Linked DNA regions of Danio rerio. The protein of the gene in region 2 purifies or fractionates together with the protein of the main gene of each other region. This does not show direct contact. Links are inferred from orthologs where the notes say so. Each region holds a gene or a part of one and is shown on either strand. Other genes may lie near its edges.

Region 1 (4,129 bases), on a different chromosome or scaffold from region 2:
GGAGTAGAGGTTCAGATAATGACCTGGTGGGTAAACGAATGAGATTAGTCATGTTATTTCAGTGAGGCTTTGTTAGATTGCCGCTTTGTTGAAAACAACTAGCCACTGGCTAACGGCTTCTCCTGTGATTCACTGATTGAGCGCAGACCCTATTGAAATATAGCCACGAAATGCGAAATATTACACTAAAAGATGTTGTTAAACCAAAAATGCAGACGATTACTTACTCAAAGGCTTCAGGAAAGGAGTTACCGTGTGGCAATCCCAGTGGCTCGTCGCTTGTTTGGAGGCTGGGCAGGAGCACAGAGATGAGGTACGCGAAGTGCTGTGCGCATGCGCATTGGCGCGCTCAACCATCTGCTGTTCAGCATTAAACCACAAGTTCTCAATCTTGTAGATGCCCCGTGATCGTGCTCATGGAGGGAACCCTATTCTAAACCTAATTTATATAGATTTATATAAGTATATTTAATATTGAGAAAAACATCATGGGTGCTTTTAAACAATTAGTAAATATATAAAACCCCAGCGTTACTTAGCAATACAGTTCGTATAATTCCATATTTTGGAAAGAGCGTGTTTTCATATAATTCACATATAATTTGTAAGCAGCATACACATAATAAAGGAAAAAGAAGGAGACAAACTTTGAAAATAATCAAACAATAACCACATTCGTCTTTATCCTGTAATATAATATAATGATATACACAAAAAGTACAAAAGCTGTCACTTGTGCGGTACCTTCTCAAAAGAACAATTTATGAACTAAATAAGTACACCTTTAAGTTATACTTTTATACGTAAATAAAATGTCTTTTTCTGGTATTGTATGCTCATTTTAATTATATAATAATAACATTTGTAATTATCAAAATGACTTAAAAATAATTATTAAATTATTGTTAGAAAAACATCAAAGAGTGAAAATGTAATAACTGATGCTGCCACATGGTGACCGGTGTTTAGTCGATACATCTCGCCTTTGAAAAAATGTCCCTCTTGATCCGCCGTAATGTTTTGCGCGCAAAAATTTGATTTTAAATTTTTTTTGGGGTTTTTATTTTTTTTTTTGTTTTTTTTTTTTTTTTTTTTGTGATTTTTATGGTTGGGCTTTGTTTAACTATAAAACATGGTTTAGTTAACTCCGGATCCACACTCCAATCCAGATGGTGGCGGTAATGCACCAAAAGCTGGTTGCCAACCGCCATAAAACACACAAGAAGAAGAAGAAGAATGTTTTGCGCGTGCGCAGTGGTTGTCACTGCCACATTACCGCCTGAGCCTGCGGTAGAGAGGCGCTCATCCACCATCGTATTTAGCTCGATCACTAGCTCATTACATGATCAAAACAGCCTCTCTTGCGATTTATAATTACATTTCTATTCAAACCAGGCAGTGGACTCATCCAAAAAGCAGAAAGCAGCTCTTATTGTCCGCTTAACAGCCGCCGGTGAGTGATTTTACTTGCTGCTTTTGTTGTCTGAATGTATGGAGAAAGACAGTGAGGCATGTGTGCCGAGAAAAGACATCCATTAATCTGTGCTTCAACTATTTTACGAGGGAAGGGACGGGGGTTTTACCTGATCGATTGCAGTAAAACCACGAGTTTGTAAACGATAATGTGTAAATGTGGGTGTATTTCAAGGGTTGCAGGTGGTCCATGGTTGCTCTGAGGCCCTGCGCCTCTCAGATAGCCTAGCAGCTAACGTTAACAGTATTGCTGTTTTCATAGATCTATCGCTGACACAGACAAGAGCTTTGGAAAATGTACCTGCATTTTAGTGTTAGTGTTTATCCAGGTTATTTTTTTTTTTACTTGTTTCAGTTCCAAACAAACATGTCATCGACCAAACAATATAATATTGAACTCTTGTTCTAGTTTTCATTTTTGTAGTTTGCCTTTTTTTCTCTATTGATCGTATATTAATAGTAGATCAACTAAACCTTTTAGTTTATACTAATCTATTACACATATATGTTTGCATACCCCTGATGCTCTATATGCAATGTTGCCGTTTCTAGCAGCAATTTCTCAATAATCATGTACAGCTGTGATCTTAAAGTGATAGTTCTAATGCAAAAGATCAACAATTTAATATAGGAAATTAAATTAGGGTCAAATCCAAATTTCTCAAACGTTAAAGTGATATTTCACACAAAAGTAAGAAATTTTCTCGTTCTTTTATCATCCTCCACTCATTCCAAGCCTGCTTTACTTTCTTCCTTCTGATGAACACAAAAATAAGACATGTAGAAAAGCAGTGTCCATTGACTTCCATAGTAATTTTTTTTTCAACTGATGAAGACAGTGGTCGCTTTTTTCCTCTGCATTCTTTAAAATATTTGTTGAATAGAAGAAAGAAATTTAGAGCCTCTGGGTGGTTGTGGGAATGAGTTTTGTTTTAGGTTGACCTATCCCTTTAATATCACACACAATTTTAGGAAACCATTATACTTGGAGCACTGGGACAAAATGATCCATGTATGATCACAAAAGGATGTGACACGTACAAGTGTGCTAAAGAAGCCAACATGTGCTTTTCAGTTTTACCTGTAGGTCGGTATAAAATGTTTTTAAAACTATAACGGGATTCTTAAGGGATTTCATAAATGTTGATTGTAACACCTAATTCCTGCATTTATTGTGTCATTCAAATTAGAAGTCTTAAATTAAAATTCATCTGTTTTGTGAGAACTGCATCACTTGCTTTATTTTAGAATAGACGTCTGCTAAATAAATGCATGTAAAACCACTTAAACACTCATTAGTACTTCTCCTTTTGCCATTCAGATTGACGTTGAACTTGCCTCTGTAAACCCATTCTCTCCAACTTGGTCGCCATGGCAACTGAGGAGAAGAAACCAGACACAGAGGCTACTAAAACACAGCCGGCATCAGCTGCCTCTGCCAGCCAGAGTAAGGTAAAGAAAAAAAACACTGCTGGAAACGCCCGTCTGTGACCAGTTTTTTCCTTCCTTATGGGTGTTTTTTACATTGTGCTTCGGATATACTGTGGTAAAAATGGTATAGCAGCTTTTTTTATGGATCTAAATTTTATATGATCTGTGATAATGTCATTGTTTATGTGTATTCTGCTCTATCTCAGTCAGCACCTGTCAAGCCAAACTACACCTTGAAGTTCACATTGGCTGGGCATACAAAAGCAGTTTCTTCAGTTAAATTCAGTCCAAGTGGGGAGTGGCTCGCCAGCTCGTGTAAGTACTTGTATTAATACAGCACTTGCATTAATATGAAATAATTAGAGCATATAGAATTAACAAAGGCATCAATTTTTTATTTATTTTTTTGATAAACATAGTTCTCTCAAAAGCTATTTCTGGATGGAAAAAAAGAAGTGCGTGTGTGTGTGTGTATATATATATGTATGTATATGTGTGTGTGTGTGTGTGTGTGTGTGTGTGTGTGTGTGTGTGTGTGTGTGTATATATATATATATATATATATATATATAATGTTACATTATTATACATATATATATATATACACATACATACATTCAAATGCTTTCATGGATATAATGAAACGCTTGCTTATCCACTCACTGGCTACTTTATTATGTACACCTGGTTAACTGCTCGTTAATGCAAATTTTTAATCAGTCGGTCACATGACAGCAACTCTATGTATTTAGGCATGTAGATATGGTCAAGACGATCTGTTGCAGTTCAAACCGAGCATCCAAATGGGGAAGGTGATTTAAGTGACTTTGAACGTGGCATGGTTGTTGGTGCCAGACAGGCTGATCTGAGTATATCAGAAACTGCTGATCTACTGGGATTTTCATGCACAACCATCTCTAGGATTTACAGAGAATGGCCAATAAAAGAAATAATCCAGTGAGCTGGTGTTCTGTTGGTGCAAATGCCTTGTTGATGCCAAAGGTCAGAGGAGAATGGCCAGACTGGTTTGATTTGAAAAAAAGGCAGCAGTAACTAAAATGACCACTCGTTACAACCGAGGTATGCAGAAGAGCATCTCTGAATGCATAAGATGTTCAATCTTGAGGCGAATGGGCTACAGCAGCAGGAGACCTCACCATGTACCACTCCTTAGAGCTGAAGATATCTGCCTGAACCCAACGAGAAATCAAATAGTTTGTTACAA
Region 2 (4,113 bases):
TGCGCACACCATGTGTACGTCACTCCCATGTGCACCTCCTTTGGAAATGACAAACTGACTCTAAGCTTATTGGCATTGCTTCCAAGGTGCGCGCTCGGCAGACACATTTTAATAAAACTATAGCGCTTCATACCGAAACTACATACCAAACTTTTTTTGTTACTGATATCGACAATGGTGTTCAGTTAATAAATACAGTTAAATCTTTCTCCTAACCATCTCAGGTCACGTATTTTTTATTTATATTTTTTTCATACAAGTTAAAGAAATCATAACTACTGCGCTTCTACCACCTCAGTTTCCCAGAACTTCTGGAGCTTGTTTAGTCATAAAAGCCTGTGATCTCGATTTTTATCGCCCAGCCCTATGCTTCACCCCTGAGCCTGACATCATTATTAGACAATTCAACACCCAAGTAGACCCATATTCCTATGCTTTGCTCAGTCCAGGGTGCAGAGCCCTTGAATGGGGACTTAAATGTTACCATGACAAAGCAAAGCAGCAACCACAGAAATGTTTTATTGTTTATTTTCCGAGCGATTAAATTGAAGTTTTATAATTATGTTTTCAAAATATGCTGTCAATTTCAATCTCTTCCAGTACTAAACACAATTCTTACCTATGAAGTACTAAGAGAAAGTGTTGGTGGTATTTCACAAATGTAATTGAGTATTTAAGGAATTTAATTGAGTGTACTAGAGGTTATAGGAGGAATGTGTTTTCTGCAGTCTGTTTATATATCAATAATAATACAATTGGTTACAGTGAAGTAAGCATTAGTCTTTAATCAAGAACATGATCTTTCAACTGTTAGTTCTGCAGCTTTATCGTACGTTTTTGTTTTTTAATTTTTAAAAGTTAAAACTTTTCTGTGTGTAAATGTAACTTCTTATGAACTTGTTTTACATGAATCCACTACATTTCAGAATATACTAACCTCTGTTTAAACTTGTGAACATTTCAGTGCTGTGCAGCAACTTTGATTTAACCTGAGCACATTTGCATGCATTCTCAAATATGTATGTTCTTCAGGAACAGCAACCGATTACATCTTTTCTGTCTATTTTTTGTTATACACTTAAACCTGTGTAATTTAGAATCTGAACGGTCTGTAATTAGTCTCTCATTGTGTCACTCAGGTGCCCACATACTGCTGCTGAGGAGAGAGCACCACGATGAGGAGACAGTAGGCACCCACCATAGTATGGCCGCGTCCCGCTCTTCGCGCGTCACAAGATCATCAGTGGGGATAAATGGATTGGATGAGAACTTTTGTGGCCGAACCCTCAGGAACCGCAGCATCGCCCAGCCGGAAGAGAGCTCTCCGCCTCCCGTGCCCAGAGCTCGCTCACCCAAAAAGAAGCAGGACTGTCAGCAGCACCAGCAGACCGGAGCACAGGTTGGAAAGGTAACTGAGAGCAAAGCGGAGGGCGAACCCGTGCCTGCATGTGGAAAACGTGGCTTGCCGAGCTCCGAGAAGGAAGATTCGGACAAATTTGATAACTGTGAGCGTCAAAGGTCTGGGTGTGGGCCTGAAGCCTCACCTGCCCTGAAGAGGGCCAAACGCTGTCCTCGCTCAGGTGAATCACAGGGGGCAGAGGAAGAGCCTTCTCTCAAACCCGAGAGCCCCGATCCTGCTGTATTGAAGGAAAATGACGATGGCGCCAAATCAAATAATACTTCAGCCTCAGACAAAGAGGCTGATCAGAAAAAGGATGGCCCAACAGAAGAGATCGCCCCTCAACCAGAGGTCAGCGAGAACGTCAAAGCAACCAATGGCCTCGCTGAACTCTATAGAGAGGACTCAGAAGTTGCGGCCTTACCTGTGGAGCCCTGTGCCTCCCCTGCCACACTCAACAGCAGTCCCTCACTGTTAAATGGCAGCCAGGCTGCGCCCTCATCCCCCGACCCTATTGTGCCTTGTAGATCCCCTCATCCCAAGCAAACCAATGAGCCCGACAGCCCTAAAATTGACTGTGAGAGGAACTGCACACCTGAGGAAGCCGCTGAGGCTGTGCTGTCTCAGGAACCCGAGATGGAGGTAGAGGTCGATGTTGTGGGAGAGGCTGGCCAGGCTCAGGATGAATTCGTGAGAGAGGAGAGCACCAATGGTGACTTTCAGGCTGAACCACAGGACCCTTCTGACAACTGCTCGAATATCTCAGGAGAAACGCTGTTGGCTGCTTCTCAGCTGCCCGCCGAGCCCCCCTCCTTCACAGAGCCTCAAGAACACCGCTACACCCTGAGGACTTCACCGCGCCGCGCTGCCTTTGGTAGCGGGCTCAAAGCCAGCTCCCCCAAACCCACTTCCCCACACATAGACAATGGTTCACTGAAGGAAGAGACCACAATGGTTCCTTTTTTCTCAGAGGACACCAGCCATAAAGACCCTTCCCATGATGCACTGGGACTTTCTTGCGAGGCAGACAGTGAACTTTTCGAGGAAGAGGTTGTCAGCGGAGAGGTCGGAGTGTCTGATAGTAGAGAGTCAAGATCCACCAAAGAGCTGCTGGCTGCTCAGGCTGAGGAAGATGAGGAGGAGGAAGAGGACCCAGATGTCTACTATTTTGAGTCGGATCACTTGGCTCTCAAACACAACAAAGAGTATGTTTAGGTTTACGTTCTTTCATTTGAATCTTTTTCATAATTGCGGTGATTCAAGATTATTGATTAGAAATTTGCTTTTGGCTACCCCAAACCCAGCATTTAAACCCAACAACCCAACTTTGAATACAACGGACATGAATCATGTAGCTTTATGAGAAGTCTTAAGTCGACTGTCAGCCAGAAATACTGTAGGTTAAGAAGTATGTTTTGGTTGACTTTTATGTCTGTCACCAGTTTGAACCTGTTAAAAAAAATCTACAAATTAAAAATCTTTGATCCATATTCAGATTTTCAGATCAGCTACATTTCTATTAAAATTATTGGACTTTGTTGGTGATCTGAAAATCTGACTGCAACTGTAGTTTGGACAGACCAGAGCAATGTTTAAAAACCTATAGTATCGTTCATCTGTTGCTTTAAGGAACCTCATAATGGCGCGTTTTCACTAAGCCGGACGGTACGGTACGGGTCTGTACGAGTCACCTTTATCAGGGTTGCGTTTCCATTGCCAAAAGGGTACCAATGGTACTCTTTTGGTGGGCATGGTATTCAACAGAAAGTTTCAGTCAACGTCCTTCTAGCTTGAGGAAATGTCAAAGTAAAGCTGTGCAATCAGTGCAAACCTCTCATCTGTATCTTTAATCTTCACCTGCGGTTAAAAAAGCTATTCATAAGTTTATAATAGTTCAAAAGGCGACAATAGTAGTTAAACATTGTCGTTTGTTCATGGTTTAGGTTGCTGAAAGAATCATTTGCTCATTTGTTTTTTTGTTTTTCTGGCTTCTTTTTTGTTTTTTCGCACTATACTCTCGCGTTGGTCTGTTTCTGAAAGGATTGGATGTCTGAAGCACTTTATTAATCATGCGCACGTTATTATAATCAGCTCAAAAAGTTTGTTATTTCAAATATAGAAGCATGACGAACGCACACAAGACAGCAAAACTGCTCGCCCTTTAAATAACTACTGGCCACAGGGTAGATTCTGCTCTTTTTGGCTTTGTGGCTGTTCATCAAGACAACGACAAGGTTGTTTGAGCTCAGGTCAACCATGGTTCGTTATTATATGTATATATTATTATGGTCTAGTGCAGGGGTCACCAATCTTTGTTCTGGAGGGCCAGTGTCCCTGCAGGGTTTAGCTCCAACTTGCCCTAATCCACCTGCCTGAGTGTTTTAAGTATACCTAGTATTGTACATATGTATTTGATTAGGGTTGGAGCTAAAATCTGCAGTACACAGACCCTTCAGGAACAAGTTTGGTGACCCCTGGTGTAATGTCTCAGCTGTGTATTTAAAAAAGGTGATTCCTTTGTTTTTATTCTCCTGCTTTTGCGTGTAACGTATCTCTGTAAACCAGTAGCGTTTAGTTGCACGTCTTGCTCCGCCCTTTGGTACCCTTTTGTTGTGCTAGGTACCCTTTGCAAAGGGTACCCAAAAGTGGTACGGTTTGCTTTTTAGGTACCTTTTGACAGTGGAAACGGCCTTAAAAGCGCACTGAACCGAACC

What was found. The genes of interacting proteins can lie anywhere in the genome.
Region 1: the proteins of zzz3 (region 2) and wdr5 purify together in Homo sapiens (affinity purification with mass spectrometry; 5 studies listed by BioGRID and IntAct, counting the BioPlex papers as one, with this or other methods). This does not show direct contact. The link is inferred for Danio rerio from reciprocal best matches to the Homo sapiens genes ZZZ3 and WDR5.

What each region holds. Positions count from the first base shown.
Region 1 is NC_133196.1:19,680,353-19,684,481, forward strand, and holds the start of wdr5 (WD repeat-containing protein 5), read left to right. Parts: upstream 1-1,290; 5' UTR 1,291-1,453; intron 1,454-2,794; 5' UTR 2,795-2,844; coding exon 2,845-2,925; intron 2,926-3,110; coding exon 3,111-3,219; intron 3,220-4,129.
Region 2 is NC_133177.1:9,148,135-9,152,247, forward strand, and holds the start of zzz3 (ZZ-type zinc finger-containing protein 3), read left to right. Parts: upstream 1-1,204; coding exon 1,205-2,604; intron 2,605-4,113.